3 linked regions of the Stegostoma tigrinum genome follow. The protein of the gene in region 1 interacts with the protein of each later gene in a biochemical or structural test. Links are inferred from orthologs where the notes say so. Each region holds a gene or a part of one and is shown on either strand. Other genes may lie near its edges.

Evidence for each region.
Region 2: of the proteins of ikbkb (region 1) and NF-kappa-B inhibitor beta-like, one has a biochemical effect on the other in vitro, tested with the Homo sapiens proteins (2 studies listed by BioGRID). The link is inferred for Stegostoma tigrinum from reciprocal best matches to the Homo sapiens genes IKBKB and NFKBIB.
Region 3: of the proteins of ikbkb (region 1) and nuclear factor NF-kappa-B p105 subunit-like, one has a biochemical effect on the other in vitro, tested with the Homo sapiens proteins (4 studies listed by BioGRID and IntAct). The link is inferred for Stegostoma tigrinum from reciprocal best matches to the Homo sapiens genes IKBKB and NFKB1.

What each region holds. Positions count from the first base shown.
Region 1 is NC_081393.1:16,072,192-16,080,390, forward strand, and holds the start of ikbkb (inhibitor of nuclear factor kappa-B kinase subunit beta), read left to right. Parts: upstream 1-4,771; 5' UTR 4,772-4,951; intron 4,952-5,061; exon of another isoform or gene 5,062-5,176; intron 5,177-8,178; 5' UTR 8,179-8,199.
Region 2 is NC_081392.1:14,791,420-14,800,122, forward strand, and holds the start of NF-kappa-B inhibitor beta-like, read left to right. Parts: upstream 1-5,134; 5' UTR 5,135-5,355; coding exon 5,356-5,804; intron 5,805-8,703. UniProt on the Homo sapiens protein: Inhibits NF-kappa-B by complexing with and trapping it in the cytoplasm.
Region 3 is NC_081354.1:1,699,942-1,708,181, reverse strand, and holds the start of nuclear factor NF-kappa-B p105 subunit-like, read left to right. Parts: upstream 1-4,671; 5' UTR 4,672-4,788; exon of another isoform or gene 4,789-4,903; intron 4,904-8,240.

The DNA.
Region 1 (8,199 bases):
TGTGGTTTGTGTGGTTTGCAGCTTGCCATATGGTCCAAAATAGTGTGGTCAAGGACTGGAGGATAGCCAGATATCACCTGTTGGCACTTATGGTATGAAATCATTAATTAGTTTGAAATCCTGACCGACTCCTTCTTTTGCTAAGATTTGGCAGACAGTGGTGGTAGGGATTCATAATTCATTTGTTGTCTCGTATTTCACATTTCCGCAATGCCTTTTCCCACTTCAGGACATCTCAAAAGCTCTTTCCAGCCAATTAAGTAGTTTTACAATCTCAATACTGTTGTAATGTAGGAAATACAAAGCAAGCCCTCACAAACAGCGATAAGTTAAACAGTCAGATGTCTTTGTTAGGGATGTTGGATGAAGGATAATTAAAGTTCTGGTTGTTGAGAACATCCTGCTCTTCTTCAAACAATGCCTTGGATTCTCACCCATATGTTAGAACAAATGGGACTTCGAGATAACGTTTCATCCAAAATTCAGTGCATCCAACAGTGCAATTTTTCCCTCGGTCCAGTCCTTGCAACAGTGCAAGGCTCCATCAGTGCTGATCAGCAATAATGAAATGTTTCCTCTAAACTGACCATCCAGTGGTGCAGCACTTTCTCAGAACTAACCTCCCAACAGTGTAGCACTCCCTCAGTACTGTCTCTGCAACAAAGAAATGGTGTCTCAGTACTACCCTCCAACAGTGCAATACTTCCGCAATGCTCCCTCAGACCTTTACTTCAACAGTATAGCAATCCCTTAATGAAGCCCCTCCCAAAGTTCAGTCCTCATGGTACATTCCCTCAATCCCGCTCCTGGAAGATTGCAACACTCTCTTACACTGTTCCTGCAACATCGGTCTCTCAATACTTTACTCTGATAGGGCACCATTCCCAAGGTACTGGTCAGGGCTGAGGACAAAGGCACATCAGGGCTCAATAACTGGAGTCGGAAACTTTTGGGGTCTGTTGAGCTTGCGTTGGGGGGTGTGGATGGGATAGTTGTGCTTAACTTGTGGGCAGGGTCACTTGGCTCATGCTAGGTATGGGGCCAAGGTTGGAGATCTAAGCCATGAGCAGCACCAGGCCCCATATTTCTGTTTCTGCATTTATCAGAGTTGAGTGGTCCCTCAGCGCTGCCCCTGTAATAGTGCAGCACTCCTTCAATATTGTCACTCCAGCTGGCTGATTACCCTTAATACTGCCCTTGACAGTGCAGAGTTATTCAGGTACTGATGCCCCAAGTGTGTAACACTGTCTTAATTCTGCTCCTCCAATAGTGAAGCAAGCCCTCAAAGCTGACCCTCTGACATTATAGTGATTTCCCCCAGACTGTACTTCGACAGTGCAGTGTTCCCTCAGTACTGCAATGGAAAATCAGCTAAGTACTTTTGCTGTAGCTGCTGGAACTTGAATAGACAACCTTCTAACTCAGCAGCTAGATGGCTACCAACTGAACTGATAACGCTGCAGTCCTGAGATCTTGACAGTCAGTGGGCTCTCTCTATAGCTTGGAGGAATAGCTTTCCCTTTTTATTCTTCTCTGGCACTGAGGCCTTTGTTCTGGAGGATAAACCCCATGCCCACATCTCTTGCATTCTATCTCCACTGCAGCCTCCCTGTGTATCCTCTATCTTCCTGTCACCTCATTCTGCTCTCTCTCAATATTCCTGCAGCACTATTACCAATCACTGCGCTAGTTAATAGGTTACCAGAGATGGGATAGAAGAAGGGGAAATGGTTGTATTATGAGCAGTCTTAGCAACTCATTGATCAGACATTGACATGTTAATCACAATTTCAAATTGCAGACAATGCAAGTCCAACATTTCTCTGCTTAATATGGTCAGGAATGAGATTGGGGATGTGTGTGTTAAAACGTTACTACATTGTGTACCTACAGCACAGCTGTCAGCCACACCTTGTAGTGGTCTGGCTTTCCAAGGGTTGGGTGCGGAACAATGAAAACCACGAAGATATGAGGGGATCTCCAAGCATTCAATCACCTGGTATAGAACTGACACTCAAAGCTTGTGACTCAGAGATACTGGTTATCCACTGGTTCAAAGAGAAAGTTAACTAATTTTACTGTAGGTAGAAGTTACTAACACTGATTACTTGATTTATTGCTATCACCATTATAATCCAGCATGATATCTTGAATATTTTTCAATAAATCAGGAAGCAACTTCGAGTCTGATGGAGGGTCCTTTTTCAGCTTCTGATGAAGGGTCTAGGCCTGAGACATCAGCTTTCCTGCTCCTAAGATGCTACTTGGCCTGCTGTGTTCATCCAGTTCTACACCTTGTTATCCCTTGAGTCTGATGGAATTTAGTTGCCAAAAACGTTCATCTCCTCCTCCTCCTTTTGTTTCACCATGGACAGACTTGACTTCAGCTGTTCTCAACTTAAATTCAGAAATTTACTACTGATACATCTCTCTTTTCTCTTTCAAAAGCCAGTTTTCAAGGCCTTATGGTTTGGAATTTCTTCCCTTTGCACCTCTCTCGCTTCTTCCTTTAAAGCCATATTCCACCTCTTTAACCAAACCCCTCCATGCCATTGTTGATGCCAAGTTTTTCAGCTTCTTAGAATATCATCTCAGCTGTTAATTTACACCACCTTGTGGCATTGTGTTGATGGAGTCCCTGACTTGAGTTGGAAGAGACATAATTTCTCACCAATTGTTCAGAATGCATCTGCTGCTAGACTTCAACTGCTATGTCCAGGATTGACTCCTGAGCTGCACATAGGATAAGCTACTTGATGTGGTTTTCAACCAAACTGAGGTCGCTGCAGTCACTGCACAGGATACTTACCACCGTATGATCCCAGTGCCCCTCATCAGCCCCAGTCATAAACTACTTGATTGTCAAATACATTGATTGCTAATTTGGTTTCTTTGTTTCAGATCAGAACACAGCATCTGATTAAGAGAATAAAGAACATCCTCTTCTGTTTCTGGTTGCAGAATGACCTCTACAGATCGGTGGTTTGGATCTGTCCAGATCATGCAGGCAGCTGAGGAACATCCACACATTTATCATTGCAATGGTAGTTATTCTTACATTGCACTAAGGAATGGTTTGTGTAGCATCTCTAGTGTGATTTAGGTGGGTTGTTAAGGATGCTAATATCTCAGTATTCTCGGCCTCCAAAGCATATTATCCGTGTGCATATATTCTATACAGATGTAATCTGCACAATTTAAAGGCTTTTGGGTGAATAATTGATATCTCCTCCTCCCCAACAGATGCATGTGCAGAATGACATGGAGATAACAGACTGGCAAAAGGAGAATGCTCTCAGCCGAAAGACAAACTCAATGGAATGGGGTCCACGACTACTATCAATGATTTAAAAGAAAACAAAAAACTTTGGATGCTGGAAATCAAGTGATTATTGCAAAATCCTGTTTGATTCATTGATGCCCTTTCGGGAAGAAGATTTGCCATTCTTACCTCATCTGGCTTACGTAAGATTCCAAACTCATAGCAATGTGGTCAGTACTTAAGTGCTCCCTGAAATGGCCCAACAAACCACACTGTTCCAAATCAATTAGGGATACACTATAAGTAATGGCCTTGCCAGCAGTGGCCACATCCCAGAAAGGGATAAAGAAAAATAATTGTGGTAACTACAACCGTGAAACAGTAATGTTTCAATCAGGTGGTATGCAGTGTAGGGGGAGCTAACCAGGCTGTGCCTGTCCCAGTTTAAACTTGGGAGATTGCACGTTGGGGTTAACTAACTCCTCAATCAAACTGGTGACTGAACAGAGATAGTAAGAACTACTGATGCTGGAGTCATAGATAACACAGTGTGGAGGTGGAGGAACAAAGCGGGCTAAGCAGCATCGGAGGAGCAGGAAAGTTGATGTTTTGGGCCAGGACCCTTCTTCAGCTTTCCTACTCCTCTGATGCTGCCACACCTGCTATAATCCTCCAGCTCCACGCTGTTTCATTGGTGACTGAATAGGCCTTGCAGCAGTCAGATATCTAACCTGAGCACTTCTTCCTCCTATAATAGTAATGCTGGCCTGTAAATTTGAATTTAGTAGGAGATACATGGCAGTGCTCACACTGAACATGTTACATTCGCGCTGTTTCAGAAAGTTCACAAACATTAAAAATTTACCTCCAGCCAAGTGTTTGTTACCCAGGAATAGTTGATTGCAGTGGCCAGTGTCAGTTCAGATAACCCCGGGTGCGTTTATCTCTACTGAGTTAATGTAGTTCGTTACAATTGGATTGGGCTAATTCAGTTAACCTGGATTAATTCTTGTAGCCCAGGTTACCAAAACCAGAGCAGTAATTTAGTTATTGCAGATGAGTTTGTTTGGTCTTGGTTAAAACAGCTTGAATTGAGCTTGAATGCAGAGTTCAATGCAGTTTTTGTTCAGTTAGCCTGGATTTGTTGTATTAATCCAGAATAAAGTTATTAGCCAAGGTTAATCAATCAGGATTAAAACCAGAATTTTCCACAATGCTACCAGACCTGCTGAGCTTTTCCAGCAATTTTTATTTTTGTTTCTGATTCCAGCACCCACAGTTTTTTTCCCCTGATTTTATTTAGCTCATCGGGATGATTTTAGTCTGCCAAATTTGGTACAAACTAACCAGATTGGTTAAATAATTATCCCGGATTAGTTAATATAGGCTAATTTAGTTAGCTAGGGTTGTTTTAAATGAAACGGGTTACTTAAAGCTAGCTACTGAATTTAACCCGGATTAGTTTAGTTTGCTAGGGTGCGCTAACCTGGACCATGTGATGACATTTCCCCCCCGGGCAAGAACCCGGAAGTTGAGTTTGGCGAGAATTACAAACATTCTGGGGTAAATTCGAGGAGGGCGGCAGAAACACCACCTTGTAAAAGGATCAAATCCAAATTCTCTGTTCTGAAGTTTCTAGAAAGAGTGAAGAAGAGACACAGAAAGACCCCAGCCCGCAGCGTGCCTTGGGTAAGCGACTTTCCCCCCGCCCCGCGACCCGTTTACCTTTCCTAGCGTCTGTCTAAATCTCCACTTTACCGTGGGTTTGCTGCAAGTCATTGGAGAAAATCATCTCTCACCGTAATTACCCAAGGGAAACCGGTCAAAGAACTCATTGGCTTGTCTTGACTTCATATTCAGCATATCTAGAGGGACGGGTTACAGGAAGTTGCTCTCTCAGTCCACCAGTGTGTCCTATCTGAGTCAGCCAGTGATTCCCATAATCTCAGATTGCATCGTGGCCACACTTCTCGGTCTGCCAGTGTCTCCCCGAGTTTCCATCTGCCAATTATTTTCTGAGCCCGAATTTACCAGTGTGACCCTATCTGTCAGTGTCTCACTCTGCCAGTGTGTCAGTGTCTCAGTCTACTATTGTGTTTTTGAATCTCATTCTGTTAGTGTGCCCTTGTCTCTCAGTCTGCCAAGCCATCCACATCAGTAAATATGGTATCTCTGTCAACCAATGCATTCCTGTCTCTCTGTACAATATCAGGAAATCGCAAAAGGCATTGTTATAGCCAGAGCTGTGGGCACTGTCAATATTCTAACAAGAGTACTAAGCACTTGTGTTTTGTCATTAGCTGTTCCAGTGCAGCTGCTACACTGACAGTGTGGAAAATTGTCCAGTTATGTCTTGTGCGCTAAGAGCAAGACAAACCAACTCGGCCAATTACAACACCTGATGCCCACCCTACCCCCAATTGCCCATCAATCTCCTCTTGATTGTTGATAAATTGGTGGAATGTGTCATCAGTTGTCATTGTTATCAGCACAGAAAATGAACAGAGCATTAGATAGAGTTATTTGAAACTGTTAAACATTGCATAAATGAGTTTTTTGCTTCTGTCTTTACGAAAGAAACGAACTTTGTAGTGAATGAAACCTTTGAAGAGCAGGTGTGCATGCTGGAATGGATAGAGATAGAGGAAGCTGATGTGCTGAAAATTTTGTCAAACATTAAGATTGACAAGTCGCCAGGCCCGGACCAGATTTGTCCTCGGCTGCTTTGGGAAGCAAGAAATGCAATTGCTTCGCCACTTGCGAAGATCTTTGCATCCTCGCTCTCCACTGGAGTCGTACCTGAGGACTGGAGAGAGGCAAATGTAATTCCTCTCTTCAAGAAAGGAAATAGGGAAATCCCCGGCAATTATAAACCGGTAAGTCTCACGTCTGTCGTCTGCAAGGTGTTAGAAAGGATTCTGAGGGATAAGATTTATGACCATCTGGAAGAGCATGGCTTGATCAAATACAGTCAACACGGCTTTGTGAGGGGTAGGTCATGCCTTACAAACCTTATCGAGTTTTTTGAGGATGTGACTAGAAAAGTTGATGAGGGTCGAGCTGTGGATGTGGTGTATATGGACTTCAGTAAGGCATTTGATAAGGTTCCCCATGGTAGGCTCATTCAGAAGGTCAGGAGGAATGGGATACAGGGGAACTTAGCTGCTTGGATACAGAATTGGCTGGCCAACAGAAGACAGCGAGTGGTAGTAGAAGGAAAATATTCTGCCTGGAAGTCAGTGGTGAGTGGGGTTCCACAGGGCTCTGTCCTTGGGCCTCTACTGTTTGTAATTTTTATTAATGACTTGGATGAGGGGATTGAAGGATGGGTCAGCAAGTTTGCAGACGACACAAAGGTCGGAGGTGTCGTTGACAGTGTAGAGGGCTGTTGTAGGCTGTAGCGGGACATTGACAGGATGCAGAGATGGGCTGAGAGGTGGCAGATGGAGTTCAACCTGGATAAATGCGAGGTGATGCATTTTGGAAGGTCGAATTTGAAAGCTGAGTACAGGATTAAGGATAGGATTCTTGGCAGCGTGGAGGAACAGAGGGATCTTGGTGTGCAGATACATAGATCCCTTAAAATGGCCACCCAAGTGGACAGGGTTGTTAAGAAAGCATATGGTGTTTTGGCTTTCATTAACAGGGGGATTGAGTTTAAGAGTCGTGAGATCTTGTTGCAGCTCTATAAAACTTTGGTTAGACCGCACTTGGAATACTGCGTCCAGTTCTGGGCACCCTATTATAGGAAAGATGTGGATGCTTTGGAGAGGGTTCAGAGGAGGTTTACCAGGATGCTGCCTGGACTGGAGGGCTTATCTTATGAAGAGAGGTTGACTGAGCTCGGTCTCTTTTCATTGGAGAAAAGGAGGAGGAGAGGGGACCTAATTGAGGTATACAAGATAATGAGAGGCATAGATAGAGTTGATAGCCAGAGACTATTTCCCAGGGCAGAAATGGCTAGCACGAGGGGTCATAGTTTTAAGCTGGTTGGTGGAAAGTATAGAGGGGATGTCAGAGGCAGGTTCTTTACGCAGAGAGTTGTGAGAGCATGGAATGCGTTGCCAGCAGCAGTTGTGGAAGCAAGGTCATTGGGGTCATTTAAGAGACTGCTGGACATGTATATGGTCACAGAAATTTGAGGGTGCATACATGAGGATCAATGGTCGGCACAACATTGTGGGCTAAAGGGCCTGTTCTGTGCTGTAATGTTCTATGTTCTATGTTCTATGTAAATTTTAAAGAAAGAGGTTGAAGATTCAGTAGCCACGTGGCACAAGTTCAAGGTGACTAACAAAAGAACACAGTGAAAAGTTATTTTGCAATAACTGATTTGGGTTTGGAATGAATAGTCTTGGGCTGCTTTAAACAGAATCAATATTTTTTGCACAAGTGAACTGCAGAATTACTTGGAGCAAAGATTGAGGATGCTTGTTAAGGAACAGGGAATAGGAATAACTGGATTGTTTGTCAGGAACTGTCATGAACTTGATGAGCTAAATGGCTGTGCAATCATTTTCAATTTCATAAAATCACTACAATGTGGAAACAGGGCATTTGGCCTAACACATGCACACTGCTTCTCTGAAGCGTCCCACTCAGACCCATGTTCCTACCCTAAGAACCTGCATCTCCCATGGCTAACATACTTAATCTACACAGCCCTGAACACCAATAAACCAGCACAGCTTTGGACTGTGGGAGGAAATCGGAGCACCTGGTGGAAACCCACACTGATGTAGGGAGAACATGCAAATTGCACACAGACAACGCCAGAGGGTGGAATTGAACCCAGGTCCCTGGTGCTGTGAGGCAGTAGTGCTAACCACTGAGACACTGTGCTGCCCAATGATTCAATGACAGTGCTTTCAGATACCACATCCTCACCAATAACCCTCTCACCAATGTTTCGTTAGGTTTCCGCCAGGGCATTTGGC
Region 2 (8,703 bases), on another chromosome or scaffold:
GCAGCTGGGACTTGAACCCAGGCCTCCTGGCCCAGAGCTGGGTGCAATGCTACTGTACCACAGGAGCCCCTAGACAAAAGGAGCAGATGGAATGTGAACCCACGTGTTCTGGCTCAAAGGTGGGGACACTGCCACTGCACTGCATGACCCCTTCAATACTTTTAATCAACCATTCAGATGTAATATGACACACCTCTGGAGCAAGTAAGACTTGAATCCAAGCCTTCTGGATCAGGAGTAAGGACATTGCCACTGTGCCACAAAAACCCTAGGACTGTACTTCTACATCTGCAGAAATTAACAACAGTGTTTGACAGAATAGTGATGACCTTGTAAACAGATTACAAAATCCCACAGTTGTAACATGCATGTCAGTATTTGACCACATATGAAATAGGGGAAAGGTGAACCATGAAAAATGCCACATGATTTTCTGAAGTTTGTCCCATTGATATTATGATATGTCTCAAGCCTAAAATATAACTGTGATCTTACGATTACTTCTCAATTTCAGACTCAGCAGAGGGAAAACTTGTAGTGTCACAATAATGGTAAACATGAACTATCAATGCTCAACTTCCACCACGTTCGTAATAGCTGAGACCCTTATAACGAAAAAGATTTTTAAAACAGAAATACTGACTTAAAATGGCTGTTGTTGTCACCTGACTACAGATTGTGGCAAGTCCAGGGAACCCATTCAGAATACATAAAATTGGCAAAATTGAAATTCTGCTTAATCTAAAATAATTGAAATCAGACAACCGAGTTAGAGTCAAGAAGTTTGGATCTACTGTTTAATTCACACTTGAATATTACTTTTCACCATTTGAACATAAAAGTGTTCCCTGCAACTATCCAACTTAAATAAACAATGAAAGCAGACTCACAAATACACAGATAGACTCTATTTCAGGGGCTTTTGAGCAGCAAAGGAGAAGGAAATTGGATTCCGAATTGCAGAACATGGAAGGTTTGTTCTCTCTTTTGCCTCCTGCTCCCACCTCTCTCCCCAATCCTTAACATCTCTTGGGAATTTTGGAAAAACAACCATTCACTAACAATTCCAGGATTCTACAAATGGCATTATGACTGAGGAAGAAAGACAACAGTTAAACAGTCATACACTCATGTTTAACTCTTACAACCAGAGGTCCCTAAGAAATTTAAACTGCATCTGAATATCTTCCTATAGACAGTAGATACCCTCTCCATCACTCTTAAATCTATTATCTTTGTTTGAGTTTGTGTTTAATATTGCATTTTTTTTTCCTCTGGGTTTGTAGATAATAGAATGGCTCTTTATTTCACTCAAGATAATCTTGATAATTCTTCCTCCCATTTTCTAGTGAATTACATTTTAATCGGAGTGTCATGGCTGTGTGCTAAATGAAAAATGAAAGATATTTCTAGTGGCTGAATGAGATGGGCTGACAAAATGGACAGCTGTTTCCTCATCTGTTCTTAACAACAGGAACACAGGAATCAGGAGTAGGTCATTTGGCCCACTCACGCCTGCTCCAGCGTTCAGCATTGGCTGATCTGATTGTGGGCTCAACTCTGCAGTTCTATCTCCTCCCACCCTCCAATAACTTCTAACTGCCTTGTTAGTCAAAAACCTATCTACCTTTGTCTTAAATTCAATGAACCTGTATCCAACCTCTCTGCGAGAAGTGAATTCCACAGACTAATGAAACTCAGAAAATAATCCTGTTAAACTCCATCTTAAGTGCAAGATACTTACTTTAAAACTGTATCTGTTAATTTTAGTCACTCCCATTAGGACAAATATCCTTTCAGCATCCACCCAATCAAGTTCCTTCAGGATCTCACAAAGTTCAATACAATTCTCATTTCTCCAACCTTCGAGTTTGAAAATTTGAAATAATCCCAGACTCTACTCTTGAATTTGTACATGTAAATGTGGGAGTCAGCGACAGTGAGCATGGACACATTACTCAACTAGAGTAGCACTCAGTAGTGAAGCACAGTAGTGGTACTGGCCAAGCACAGTAACCCAGGTTAATGTTCTGGGGGACGCAGACTTAATCCTAAATTGGCTGATGGTGAAATTTCAACGAAAACTTTAAAAGCCAGCTGAGTGACTATCATTGTTGATTGCTGCAAAAACCCAAAAATAAAACAAAGAACTATGGATGCTGAAAATAGTCATACAACATGGAAAATGGAGGCAATGGCCTAATGGTATTATTGCCGGACTGTTAATCCAGAGGCCCAGATAACTTTCTGGGGATAACAAAGTGTGAAGCTGGATGAACACAGCAGGCCAAGCAGCATCGCAGAAGCACAACCTGGGATTGGATCCGCTACGGCAGATGGTGGAATTTAGATTCAATGAATAGTTGGAATTAAAAGTCTAATGATGACCATGAATCCATTCTCTTTGGTGGAAAACCCATCTGGTTCACTAATGTTCCTTAGGGAAGGAAACTGCCACCCTTACCTGAGATAACGAGGTGCAGAGCTGTGTGAACACAGCAGGCTAAGAAGCATCATAGGATCAGGAAGGCTGATGTTTTGGGCCTAGACCCTTCATCAGAAATGGTGGAGGGGAAGGAGGTTCTGAAATAAATAGGGAGAGAGGGGGAAGTGGATAGAAGATTGATAGAGAAGAAGTTGCAGTGGGAGAGAGATCCCCTGAGGTTTGTCCGGAGGGAGGAGGATAACTTCTTCAGGGTAGGCATCCTTTGAAGAGGCTTCACAGTGGGGTTAAAATTGTATCAGAGGTAACAGGAACTGCAGATGCTGGAGAATCTGAGATAACAAGGTGTGGTTAAAATTGTATCGAGATAATAGGAACTGCCAATGTTTCTCCAGCATCTGGTTATTATCTCTGCTATCCTTACCTGGTTTGGCCTGCATGTGATCCAGACCCACAGCAATGTGGTTGACTCTTAACAGCCCTCTAGGCAATTAGGAATGGACAATAAATGCTGCCTAGTCAGCAACTCCCTCATCCCGCAAATCAATAAAGGTTAAAAAAAAGACCTTCGGTCCAATTAGTCCATGCCACCATAATGCCAACAAACCAACTATACATCCAACAAGATCCCTCCAAACATTTCTTATTCATGTACTTATTCCTTTTAAACATTGTAACTGTACCCACATCCAACACTTCCTCTGGAGGTTAATTCCACACACAAAATACTCACTGGTTTAAAAAGATTGGCTCTCATGTCTTTTTAAGATCTTTTTCCTCTCACCTTAAAAGACCCTAGTCTTGAAATCCCCATCCTTAAGAAAAAAGACACCTGCCATCCACTTTAGCTCATGATATTATAAACCTCTATACGGTCATCCTTCACGTCCAGTAAAGTCTCAGCCTGTGGTATCACAAATAAACTGCTGAAGGAGACTCACTGGACTGTAAACATTAAGTCCGCTTTCTCTCCACAGATGTGGAGGAATGGAATTGTGGGAGATATAACAGTTTGGATCAGAAATTGGCTTGCTGAAAGAAGACAGAGGGTGGTAGTTGATGGGAAATGTTCATCCTGGAGACCAGTTACTAGTGGTGTACCGCAAGGGTCAGTGTTGGGTCCACTGCTGTTTGTCATTTTTATAAATGACCTGGATGAGGGCATAGAAGGATGGGTTAGTAAATTTGCAGACAACACTAAGGTCGGTGGAGTTGTGGATAGTGACGAAGGATGCTGTAGGTTGCAGAGAGACATAGATAAGCTGCAGAGCTGGGCTGAGAGGTGGCAAATGGAGTTTAATGCAGACAAGTGTGAGGTGATGCACTTTGGTAGGAGTAACCGGAAGGCAAAGTACAGGGCTAATGGTAAGATTCTTAGCAGTGTAGATGAGCAGAGAGATCTCAGTGTCCATGTACACAGATCCTTGAAAGTTGCCACCCAGGTTGACAGGGCTGTTAAGAAGGCATACAGTGTTTTAGCTTTTATTAATAGAGGGATCGAGTTCCAGAACCAAGAGGTTATGCTGCAGCTGTACAAAACTCTGGTGCAGCTGCACTTGGAGTATTGCGTACAGTTCTGGTCGCCGCATTATAAGAAGGATGTGGAAGCTTTGGAAAGGGTGCAGAGGAGATTTACTAGGATGTTGCTTGGTATGGAGGGAAGGTCTTACGAGGAAAGGCTGAGTAACTTGAGGCTGTTTTCATTAGAGAGAAGAAGGTTGAGAGGTGACTTAATTGAAACATATAAAATAATCAGAGGGTTAGATAGGGAGAGCCTTTTTTCTAGGATGGTGACGGTGAGCACGAGGGGGCATAGCTTTAAATTGAGGGGTGAAAGATATAGGACAGATGTCAGAGGTAGTTTCTTTACTCAGAGAGTAGTAAGGGAATGGAACGGTTTGGCTGCAACAGTAGTAGATTTGCCAACTTTAGGTACATTTAAGTCGTCATTGGATAAGCATATGGACGTACATGGAATAGTGTAGGTTAGATGGGCTTGAGATCGGTATGACAGGTTGGCACAACATTGAGGGCCGAAGGGCCTGTACTGTGCTGTAATGTTCTATGTTCTATGCTACCAGACCTGCAGAGTTTCTCCAGCAATTTCTGTCTGTTGCTGGATAAAATTCCATCTGTCTTTTAGGGAAGGAAATCTCTTGTCCTTAACCGATCTGGCCTGTTTTCATGATTCCATACCCACAGCAATGGGGGCTGTCTCTTAACCTTCTCTACAACGGCTTTATAAAGCCAGTCCATTCCAGGGGCAATTAGGGATGGGCAATGACCGCTGCCATCAGCGAATAACAGAAGCAAAACACTGTCCCTCTCTCCACAGACACTGCCAGATCCGCTGAGTTTCTCCAACACTTTCTTTCCAGATCCTCAGCCTGAAACTTGCTCAAGTTGTTGTTGTCCTTGATAACGAACAACAGTCCTGATGAAGAGTCCAGATCTGAAACGTTGACTTTCCCACCCCTCTAATACTACCTGACTTGCTGGGCTCCCCCCGCCACCCACTCCGTTGCCTCTGACTGCCAGCACTGCAGTCTTTAAAGACTTGCTATCGCCAGGACTACAACTACCACAGGCCATTGCGGCGGGGGCAGCGTCTGCGCATGGGCAACGTCGTCTCCCTCACAGGGACCTGCCAGGAAAGCGCAATTCGATTGGTCCCTGGCCTAGCGGGGGAAATTCCCACCAGACAAAAGGGTAAACAAGGCGTCGGCCATTTTTGGTGAGGCGTCCGTTTCATCTCCGTGTCTTTCTTTCACTTTCCCGTTAAAGCTGCTGCTCCGCGGCGAGAGGGATGGCGGTTTTACCTCATAGATTTCGCTGATGAGTCGACTGGCGTCCTTTAGAATCGTGTTCAAGAGCGATTTTCATTATCACGTCGGGAGTCCAGAGAAAAAAACATGGAGGTTGTCCCGCAGCTGTCAAATGGCAACTCATCCAAACAGACGATCAAGCTGGGCACTGGTAAAGTGGCCGCGCCGTGGGGTGGCCAGGCCAAGTTGGACAGCCTGGGGCTACCCGCTGAGGTAGAGGGCGATGACTACTACGACAGTGGCATTGGCTCCCTCAGTGAGCTGCAGGTCAGCCAGTTCAGTGAGTTGGGTGGCGTTGACCAGAGTGTTGATGGTGGGGAGGGCAAGGATGGCATGTCCATGGGCACTGAGCCAGACATTTGCTTATCCACCCAGCGGTGGGCAGAGAGTGGCGTTAGCCAGATCACCCAGGGCATCGAGGATGTGAAACTGAGTGGCACCGGTCAGATCACCCAGGGAATGGAGCTGGGAAGTTCCCAAGAAGCAGTGAATGAGTTGAAGGAATTGCGCCACTACCGAACCGAAGACTTGGACTCGTGAGTATCGCTTGCATGAGGGGGTAATAAAGTGTCAACTGTGGGTGGGCATGGGGGTATGGGTTTACTTGGTTCCATCATTCCCAAGTACCAGATGCAGAAATACACCTTCAGCCCATGTGCTGGTATGCCCAGTACCAGCAACAATCCATTGTCAACTTTCAGATGAGGTCATTAAACCTGACTGGTGAATACAAAAAAAAAATTCTGGCACTATTTCAAAGACGTGTCTCTTAATCAGAAGATGGTGCGTTTAAGCCTCACTCCAAAGACTTGAGCGCAAGAATCAAGTCTGACATTCCCATTGCAGTACTGAGAGGGCATTGCTGTGTCAAAGGTGTATCATTTTTTGGATGAGATGCTAACTCAAGGATTTTATGGAGCTATTTGGAGGAAGAACATGAAGTGTCCTCTGTAGTGACCTAGTCAACTTTACTTCCTCTGCCAATGTTGCCACCAAGGGAAAAGATCATCTGGCCATTGTTTATTTTGTGGGATCTTGCTGTGTGTAAAACACCTGCTGCATTGACCTCTATTATACAGTGACTACCCTTTGAAAGTTTCCACGCAGTTCTTTGAAATCTGAGGTGATGAAAGAAGTTGAAGTTGCTTAATTCCCCTCTCAATATATTCCTGGAGGCAGTCCTATCTCTAACACCTAACCCAAATAGAATTTTTAGTTTCTGATGTACAATATCTTTATGTACAATTTAGTATTCAAAGGAAGATTTTTTTTTTAAAAGACAGAATTATTATTAAACAGATTGCAGCAGTTCAAGGAGGCAGCTCCAACACCATGTTCTCAATGGTAACTAGATATGGGCAATAAATGCTGGCCAGCCAGCAATGCCCACATTGCTGTGACTGAATAAAAAGCATTTTAAAAATTATTATGTGATGTGGTGACTGTCTTTTCTTTCATCTGTGACCTGGGTTTGAATTAATCGCTGTTGGTGAAAGTGATCCTATGTGAAATGTGGCAGTCTCAGTTTAACATTCTCCTAGGTCCACAGCACCAGACTTCCCTTTGATGAAAGTCTCATTTGTTGAGGCTGCAAATTGACTCTCTCAGAAATGTCACTCTCATGCAGTTGGAAATGGTTTTGGGACTCAGACATGTTTCTGGGCAGAGTAGAGGAGCTTGCATTTGTATTTTCTGGGAATAGTTAAAACTCATTTTGACTGCACAAATTTACTGGAATTTAAACATCCCTTGTCTTGAGGAGTGCCACATTCACATTAAATCAGTTTTAAAACAGAATACTGCAGAGATTCACATAATCTGATATACAGAAAACCCTGCTCTGAAATCACTCTTCCATTAGCAGCCATGACCCTAATCTCTGGAATTTCCTCTCTAAACCTCTCCATTACTCTACTTCTGTTTCCTTTTTTTTTAAAAGCATCTCTTTAAAACATAGATCTTTGCCTGAGCTTTTTTTCCAAATATTGCCTTGTTTAGCTCGATGAGGAATTTGCCTTTTGATTATCAAGGCAGCTGTTTTTGGTCAAGTTTTGCAAGGTGATAAGGTAACAAAATAAAGAACAGACTTGTATTTATGTAGCAACTTCTCATGTCCTCAAGCATCCCATCAAAATGCTCGGCTCGTAGATTATATTTAAAGTGTTATATTGACAAAATGGCAGGACGTTTCTGCAAAAAGCACTGATTGGTGATCTCCAAGTGATGTGCAAATACCACCTTAGACATAATTAGCCTCCCCGCTGAACTTTGAAATTTAAGATTACATATATACTTATGTTTCTTATATGTATAGCACCTTTCATGGCCATGGGAAATCATAAAGTGTTTTATAATCAATTAAGTGCGTTGTGACATGTATTATCTGTCATATTGTAGGAAAGATTGCACTAATTCGCACACTGCAAGCTCCCACAAACAACAGAGATGATGACTTCATTATATGCTATAGTGACATTTGTGGAAGGCAACATATTAGGACATTGAAATGAACTCAATAAAAACCAAAAGAACTGAAGATGCTGCAAATCAGGAATGTAGATAGAATTTGCTGGAAAAGCTCAGCAGGTCTGGCAGCATCTGTGAAGAAAAAAAATCAGAATTAATGTTCCAGGTCCAGTGACTTCCTCAGAACTGTTCTGAGATAGGATCATTGGACCTGAAATGTTAACTCTGACTTTTTCTTTGCAGATGCTGCCAGACCTGCTGAGCTTTTTCAGCAAATTCTGTTTTTGTCACTGAAATAAACTCGCCTGTGCTTCTTCAAAGTAGTTACCTGGATCTTGTACGTGCTCACTGTTGGGGAAGCAGTTAGGGACTTGGTATAATATTTTATCATAAAGATGTAATCTCTGGAGTTGAACCCCTCAGCCCTGCACTGAATTGTCAATCAAGATTTTCTGTGCATAGATTTTGTGGATAGGAATGTGCAAGGCTTTGCACTCTTTTGAGAGGCAATAATTAACAAGCTGTATCAACATAAACCTTAGCTTTGTTGATTGCAATGAGGGAACTATTAACATGTGACATTTCCTTAAGTTTGGCACACTCTACTCATTTGGTCACCAACTTTCTGTCATACTATTTGTTGATGCCTTGATCAGAATTTCTATTTTGTACCATTTGACAAACCCCAAATGCAACTCCCGATAACCAGAGTATGACTGATGTACTGTGGTGGGATTCTCAACCCACACCCGGCTTCTGTGGGCAATATAAAGGGAAATCCACTATTTCATGCTGAAAAACCATTAAGTTGTAAAGGCAGCAATAACAATCAGGATGAATAGTATTGTTGAAGATGGTAATTTTTCTCATTATTTTTGCTTGATTTCTGAGGTCTCCTTTCTGACTGTAGTTGCCTCATCTCCTTGCCTGTACCACTTGTACTTGGTGAAGTACTTTTGAAATGTGAAC
Region 3 (8,240 bases), on another chromosome or scaffold:
AGTGCCACAGTGTCGGAGGGTCAACGCTCACAGATGGTCGCACTGTCGGAGGGAAAGTACTGAGGGAGTGCGGCACTGTCAGAGGGTCAGTGCTGAGGGAGTGCCGCACTGTTGGAGGATCAGTGCTGAGGGAGTGCTAACTCTCACAGGATAAGTACTGAGGGAGCACCGCACTGTCAGAGAGTCAGTACTGAGGGAGCACCGCACTGTCAGAGGGTCAGTGCTGAGGGAGTGCCGCACTGTCAGAGGAACAGTTCTGAGGGAGTGCTGCACTATCTGAGGGTCAGCACTGAGGGACTGCCGCACCGTCACAGGGTCCATAAGACCATGAGAACATAAGACATAGGAGTGGAAGTAAGGCCATTCAGTCCACTCCGCCATTTAATTATGGCTGATGGGCATTTCAATTACACTTCCCTGTTCTCTCCCTGTAGCCCTTGATTCCTTGTGAGATCAAGAATTTTTCAATCTCTGCCTTGAAGACATTTAATGTCCCGGCCTCCACTGTACTCCGTGGCCATGAATTCCACAGGCCCACCACTCTCTGGCTGAAGAAATATCTCCTCATTTCTGTTTTAAATTTACCGCCTCTAATTCTAAGGCTGTGCCCACGGGTCCTAGTCTCCCCGCCTAGTGAAAACAACTGCACAGCATCCACCCTTTCTAAGCCATACATTATCTTGTAAATTTCTATTAGATCTCCCCTCAACCTTCTAAACTCTGATGAATACAATCCCAGGATCCTTAGCCATTCATCGTACGTTAAACCTACCATTCCAGGGATCATCCGTGTGAATCTCCGCTGGACACGCTCCAGCGCCAGTATGCCCTTCCTGAGGTGTGGGGCCCAAAATTGAACACAGTATTCTAAAAGGGGCCTAACTAGAGCTTTATAAAGTCTCAGAAACACATCACTGCTTTTATGTTCCAACCCTCTTGAGATAAACAATAACATTACATTCGCTTTCTTAATCACAGACTCTACCTGCAAGTTAACTTTTAGAGAATCCTGGACCAACACTTCCAGATCCCTCTCTACTTCTGCTTTATGAATTTTCTCACCGTTTAGAAAATAGTCCATGTCTGTATTCTTTTTTCCAAAGTGTAAAACCTCTCATTTGCTCATGTTGAATTTCATCAGACATTTCCTGGACCACTCTCCTAAATGGTCTAAATCTTTCTGCAGCCTCCCCACCTCCTCAGTACTACCTGCTTGTCCACCTATCTTTGTATCATCAGCAAACTTCACCAGAATGTCCCCAGTCCCTTCATCCAGATCATTAATATATAAAGTGAACAGCTGCGGCCCCAACACTGAACCCTGTGGGTCACCACTTGTCACCGGTTGCCATTCCGAAAAAGAGTCTTTTATCCCAATTCTCTGCCTTCTGTCAGACAGCGAATACTCAATTCAAGCCAGTAGCTCACCTCGAACACCATGGGCCCTCACCTTACTCAGCAGCCTCCCATGAGGCACCTTATCAAAGGCCTTTTGGAAGTCTGGATAGATAACATCCACTGGGTTTCTCTGGTCTCACCTACTTGTTACCTCTTCAAAGAATTCTAACAGGTTTGTCAGGCACGACCTCCCCTTACTAAATCCATGCTGACTTGTTCTAACCCGACCCTGCACTTCCAAGAATTTAGAAATCTCATCCTTAACAATGGATTCTAGAATATTACCAACTACCGAGGTTAGGCTAATTGGCCTATCAATTTCCATCTTTTGTCTTGATCCCTTCTTAAACAAGGTGGTTACAACAGCAATTTTCCAATCATCTGGGACTTTCCCAGACTCCAGTGACTTTTGAAAGATCACAATCAAAGCCTCCACTATTTCCTCAGCCACTGTCTCAGGGGGTCAGAGCTGAGGGAGGGCCGCACTATCTGAGGGTCAGTCCTGAGGGAGCGCCGCACCGTCGGAGGGTCAGTACTGAGGGAGTACCGCACTGTCAGAGAGTCAATGCTGAGGCAGTGTGGCACTGTCGGAGGGTCAGTGCTGAGGGAGTGGGCACTGTTGGAGGGTCAGTGCTGAGGGAGCACTGCACTGTCGGAGGGTCAGTGCTGAGGGGGTGCCGCACTGTCGGAGGGTCAGTGCTGAGGGAGCACCGCACTGTCAGAGGGTCAATGCTGAGGCAGTGTGGCACTATCGGAGGGTCAGTGCTGAGGGAGCACTGCATTGTCAGAGGGTCAGTGCTGAGGGAGCGGGCACTGTCGGAGGGTCAGTGCTGAGGGAGCGCTGCACTGTGTGAGGGTCAGTGCTGAAGGAGTGCCGCACTGTCGAGGGTCAGTGCTGAGGGAGCACCGCACTGTTGGAGGGTCAGTGCTGAGGGAGCACTGCACTGTCTGAGGTTCAGTTCTGAGGGAGCCCCGCACTGTCAGAGGGTCAGTGCTGAGGAAGTGCCGCACTGTTGGAGGGTCAGTGCTGAGGGAGCGCTGCACTGTGTGAGGGTCAGTGCTGAAGGAGTGCCGCACTGTCGAGGGTCAGTGCTGAGGGAGCGTCGCACTGTCGGAGGGTCAGCGCTGAGGGAGCACTGCACTGTCGGAGGGTCACTGCTGAGGGAGCCCCGCACTGTCAGAGGGTCAGTGCTGAGGAAGTGCCGCACTGTTGGAGGGTCAGTGCTGAGGGAGCACTGCACTGTCGGAGGGTCAGTGCTGAGGGAGCGTCGCACTGTCGGAGGGTCAGCGCTGAGGGAGCACTGCACTGTCGGAGGGTCACTGCTGAGGGAGCCCCGCACTGTCGGAGGGTCAGGGCTGAGGAAGTGCCGCACTGTTGGAGGGTCAGTGCTGAGGGAGCACTGCACTGTCGGAGGGTCAGTGCTGAGGGAGTGTCGCACTGTCGGAGGGTCAGCGCTGAGGGAGCACTGCACTGTCGGAGGGTCACTGCTGAGGGAGCCCTGCACTGTCACAGGGTCAGTGCTGAGGAAGTGCCGCACTGTTGGAGGGTCAGTGCTGAGGGAGTGGGGACTGTCGGAAGGTCAGTGCTGAGGGAGCGCTGCACAGTCGGAGGGTCACTGCTGAGGGAGCGCCGCATTATCTTATACAGATTGTTCCTAGTCTTGAGCTCCCCACAAATAGAAATCTCTTATTAATAGGAATATATGCAGCAAATTGGAATTCCCAAACTGGAATCAAACTTTCGTTTGTCCAAATTGTTTGTGTAAATTGTGGAAAGAATGAGCCCAATACTAGCCCTCGTACAGCACTTGCCACTAACCGCCACTGGGAAAACTATCCTTTACTCCAACTCTTTGCTTGTTGTTTAGAAACCAGCCAGCAATCCATTCGGCCCCTTGGGAATCTGCAACCCCTGTACTCCCCCGGCAACAACCTGGGAAACTGCAGCATCCTTTCTTCCCCGGGGGCAACGAGGAGAATTGCAGACACCTCCCACTGCCATTAGTCCCCTGCCTCCAGCTTCTCCCTATTGGATGGGTGCTGCCTAGTGGGTTCAGTTTCCCAGCTTGTTCCTGGATCGGAGTGGGGGTGTTGGAGTCACAGTTGAAGCTCCAAAGGTGAAGATACAGGGGACTAAAGTTCCCAAAACGGAAGTGAAGGTGAAAGGGCAGATTCCCAGGTTGTACTAGAGGTATTAAAGAGTGAAAGAAGTCCCTGTAACTGTGAGGAAGCGTGAAGGATTTGCACTCGCCCATGTTTTCCGGCGGAGTGAGGGGTTTGGGGTGTGGCGGGGGTGTACCGCCGTCTCCCCAGGGGGAGTGACAGGGCTGCAAACGCCCCCTAGATAGAGATCCCACGCGCAGGTTGTCCCAGGGTAAGAAAAGATCAAAGACCTCCTTGTTTCCCCCAGGGGGCTTGTGGGGTCTGCAGGTCCCCTCCCTTCTGCCCCCGGGTAGTGAGGGGGCTGCAGTTCCTCGCTGTTGCGATTAGGGGGAGTGAGGGGGCTGCAGTACTTCCCGATTGCCGCCAGTGGGAGTGAAGGGGATCAATGATAATGGGAACTGCAGATGCTGGAGAATCCAAGATAACAAAAGTGTGGAGCTGGATGAACACAGCAGGCCACGCAGCATCTCAGGAGCACAAAAGCTGACGTTTCGGGCCTAGACCCTTCATCATCTCTGGGGTCTAGGCCCGAAATGTCGGCTTGTATGCTCCTGAGATTCTGCTTGGCCTGCTGTGTTCATCCAGCTTCACACTTTGTTATCTGAAGGGGCTGTAGCTCCATTCGCTGCCTCCAGTGGAAGTGATGGAGCTGCAGTATCCCCTGCTGCCCCCATGAGGGCTGTGAGGGGGCTGCATTTCCCCCGGTTGCCCGCAGGAGGTCTGAAGGGGCTGTATTTCCCCCCGTTGCTCCCAGAGGGTGTGAGGGGGCTGCAGTTCCCCCCGTTGCCCCCAGGGGGTGTGAGAGGGCTGTAGTTCGCCCCCCCGTTGGCCCCAGCGGGTATGAGGGGGCTGTAGTTCGCCGCCCCCCCAGTTGTACTGTGAGGGTACTGCATTTCCCCCCGTTGCCCCCAGGGGGTGTGAGGGGGCTGCAGTTCCTCCCTTGCCCCCAGGGGGTATGAGGGGGCTGTAGTTCGACCCCCATTGCCCCCAGGGGGTGTGAGGGGGCTGTAGTTCGCCGCCCCCGTTGCCCCCAGTTGCATTGTGAGAGGACTGCAGTTTCCCCCGTTGCCCCCAGGGGGTGTGAGGGGGCTGCAGTTCCCCCCGTTGCCCCCAGGGGGTGTGAGGGGGCTGCAGTTCCCCCCCGTTGCCCCTAGGCGGGCGGGGAATTTCCAGCCGGGGAGCACTGGGCCCCGGGAAGCGGAGAGAGTTTGCCGGGTGTATGGAGTGGTGAGTGGCGGCGCGGAGCCGGTGGATTGTGAGTTGGGAATACATTGTAACTTGTGTCTGATAGCTTGTTGCTGGAAGTTGCTACTTTGTAGCTGGTGCAGGATTCGCTTTGACGGTGAGTTAAACCCAGTGAATGGTTCGCTCCTCACTCGGTCAGAGTGACTGCTCCGTTAGCCTACCCCTCTCCCTCAGTCCCAGTCCGCCTCGACATCTGCTTCAGTGCCGAGCGGCCGCCGACACCAGCGGAAGGCCCGAGTTTCCGCCTGAGGCTCTCCCTCACTTTCCTTATCCTCTGTCAATCCCTCACTCTCAATTCCTCCTCCTACTTCAATTCCCTCCCTTAATGTCTCACCCCCCCTTCTCACTGCGCTGTCGCCTTTTAAATCCCCTTTTCTCAGTGTGTGACTGTCTCTCCTTGTCTTTCAAGCGGACTCTCAGGCTGTTTAATGTGCTGATGATGAGTTATGTTGATCTTCATTCGTAAAACCATAAAAAGCAGGACCAGAAGTCGGCCACTCTGTCCATCGAGTCTAATCTGTCCTTCAGTGAGACCAGGCTGACCTGCTAATCCTCAGTTCCACTTCCTGCCTTTTCCCCATAACCCTTTGTTCTCTTAGTGATTAAAAATCTTGTCTGGCATTGCCTGAAAGTGTGGTAAAGGCAGAAACCCTCATAACATTTGACAAATATTTTGATGTGTGCTTGTGACGCCAAGATAGAGGAGGTTCTGGGCCTTGTGCAGAAAATGGGATTAAAGTAGGGTTATTTGGCCAGTAACCACTCCATGGACCAAAATGCCTTGTTTAGTTCTATAGGTCTCTCTGACGGTGTGATTGTAAGATTGCCTCACATTCTACTAAATGCTAGTGAGTACAGGCCTAACCTACTCAACCTCTTCCCCATCAGACAGTCTTCCCACACCCCATATCCGGGACCAATCAAATGAACCTTCCCTGGATTGTCTCCAATACTCTATATCTTTATACAGGCAAGGTGTCCAAAATGGTTCATTGTATTCCAGCTTTTGTAACTAACGACAAAAGGTTCAGAGAGCCGAAGGGCAGGTCAGTTATAGTTGAAAGGTGAAATCTGTAGGTCTCTTAATGTTGAGCTGAGTTAATTATTTGATCAGGGCAGTGTGAGGGGGCTGATTCTGAAAGGTATATTCTTGTTATGATGCTGTTCTTTAGTGTCTTAAAGCATGGTGATATTTCACTGTTTCATTCATCACAACCCATGTGAAGATGAAGAAGTGAAAGTGAGTGTTGGGTTAACTGTGGAGATTCTTGTTAATGCCAAATTGTGGAATAGGTAATATTTCCAAATAAATTGGTTCTAATGGTGTAATTTTTAGAAATTAGCATTTTTTGTGGATTAGTTGATGCTTGTTCAAGGATATGCTATGAATGATACTGAGGCTAATTAAAATGGTTGAGAAATAAGCACATGTACTTCAAAGTAAAACAATTGTTTATTGCAATATATAGAGAGTTTTTAGGTTGTGTAGCATCAGGCTGGTGTGTGAGAGAGAATAAGCCCTGTCTCTCAGAGTTGGTGGTCACTGGGTAAGATCGATGTCAGGCAGTACTTTGTCACTCAAAGGGAAAAAGTACCCCACAAAGAGCTGATCAAGATCAGAGTCTGTCACAAATTTCAAAACAGTGATCAATAGATATTTATTAGATAGGAGATTAAGATTATGAAACAAAGAATAAATAGTACCTTTTGTAATAAAATATCCCAAGTTCTCCTCAGGAGTATTGCAAAGCAGAATTTGACAGCTAACCACATTGGGAGGTATTAGGTTAGGTTACAGAAAACTTGGTCAAGGAGGTGGGTTTTGAGAAATATCTGGTGGAAGGTGGAAAATGAGACAGTGCTGAGAGTTTAAGGAGGGCATTCCAGAGTATATGGTCCAGACATTTGAAGGCATGGCCACCAACGCAAGAGCGTCTAAAACTGGGAATGTTCAAGAGGCTAGAATTAGAGAAATGCAGGGGGTCTGGGGTTGGAGGAGGTTACAGAGATTGGGAGGGGATGAGGCTGTTAGGTATTTGAAAACAAGAATGATATTTTAAAATAAAGAGGTTGCTTAATCTGGGGCCAGTTTGTCAGGGAGCCAAGGGGTGATAAGGAACAGGAGCCACTGAGAGTTATCACATGAACAGCAGAGTTTTGGACGGCCCCAAGGTCACAGAGGATAGAATGTGGGGACCAATGAGGAGTGTATTGGAGCAGCTAAGAAAGTCTAGAGGTGATTGTTTAAACATGAGGGATTCATGAATGATGAGCTGAGACAGGGTGAAGTTGAGGGATGTTACTGGGCTGGTAGTAAGTGGTCTTAGTAATGGTGCAAAGTAAGAGGTCAGAATCAGGATTTTATGAAAAACCACGGCTGTGACCGACTTAATCCCACAATGTTGTCAGGGTGAGAGAGGTGTTGGTGATTGGGAAACATTGTTTGGACTAGGAACTACAGCCAATGACTTCCCAATATTTAATTGAAGGGAATTTATGCTCATCCAGTTCTGGATGTTAACTCAGTAGTCTGACAGTTTAGAGAGAGTGGAAAAATTGAGAGCTGGTGATGAGGTCAAGCTGGGGTTGTCAGAGAACATAGTGAGAATGAACACTGTACTTTTACATGATGTCACTGAGCAGCAGCATGTAAATGGGAAATTGGATGAGGCCAATGATTCACCCAAAGTAGGTAAATACCAGCTTGTAAAATGGGAGCAAGAATAGGCCATTCGGCCCTTAAACCTGTTTCAGCATTCAACAAGATCATGATGGATCTGTTTGTGCTGTGAGTTTCACATTTCCCCATACCAGACATTCTTGTCAGGGAGGGGAATCAGTGTAACTCTGCATCATTGAATATTTTTAAGGCATTGCCTTCCAAAGTCAACCGTTTGAGAGAGAACAAAATTTTTCATCTCATGCACCCTAGTTCTGATTTGACCTACAAGAGGAAACATCTTGTCTGCATTCACCTTGTCAATGCCACCCAGGATGTTACACACTTCAATCAGGTCACTCCTCACTCTTCTGAACTCTAGGGGAAACCAACCCGGTCTGTGCAACCTATCCTCAAAAGAAAATCTGCTCATTCTAGGTGGCAATCTAAATAAATTCCTCCTCTGAAGCACTTGTGATGGAAAACTTGGAAGGAAACTATAAAACATGGCGAAGAGGAGATTCAGATTGCCCACTATCTGGCCAGTTGGTGAGACAGGCCCGAGTGGTGGAATAATCTCTTCCTGATCTGAATAATGAGTCTGTAATGTCACTCAATTTGTTCTGAGATGTTTTATCAATGACAGTACTAGACCACACCAGTTGAATCTGCTGCTCAGGCTTATCTTGCAGGTCTTTGCTCAGTCTGTGACATCATAAAATATGGACAGAAATACCAGAGATGAATATTTGTTGAGGGAGCCTTTGGAGCTGTG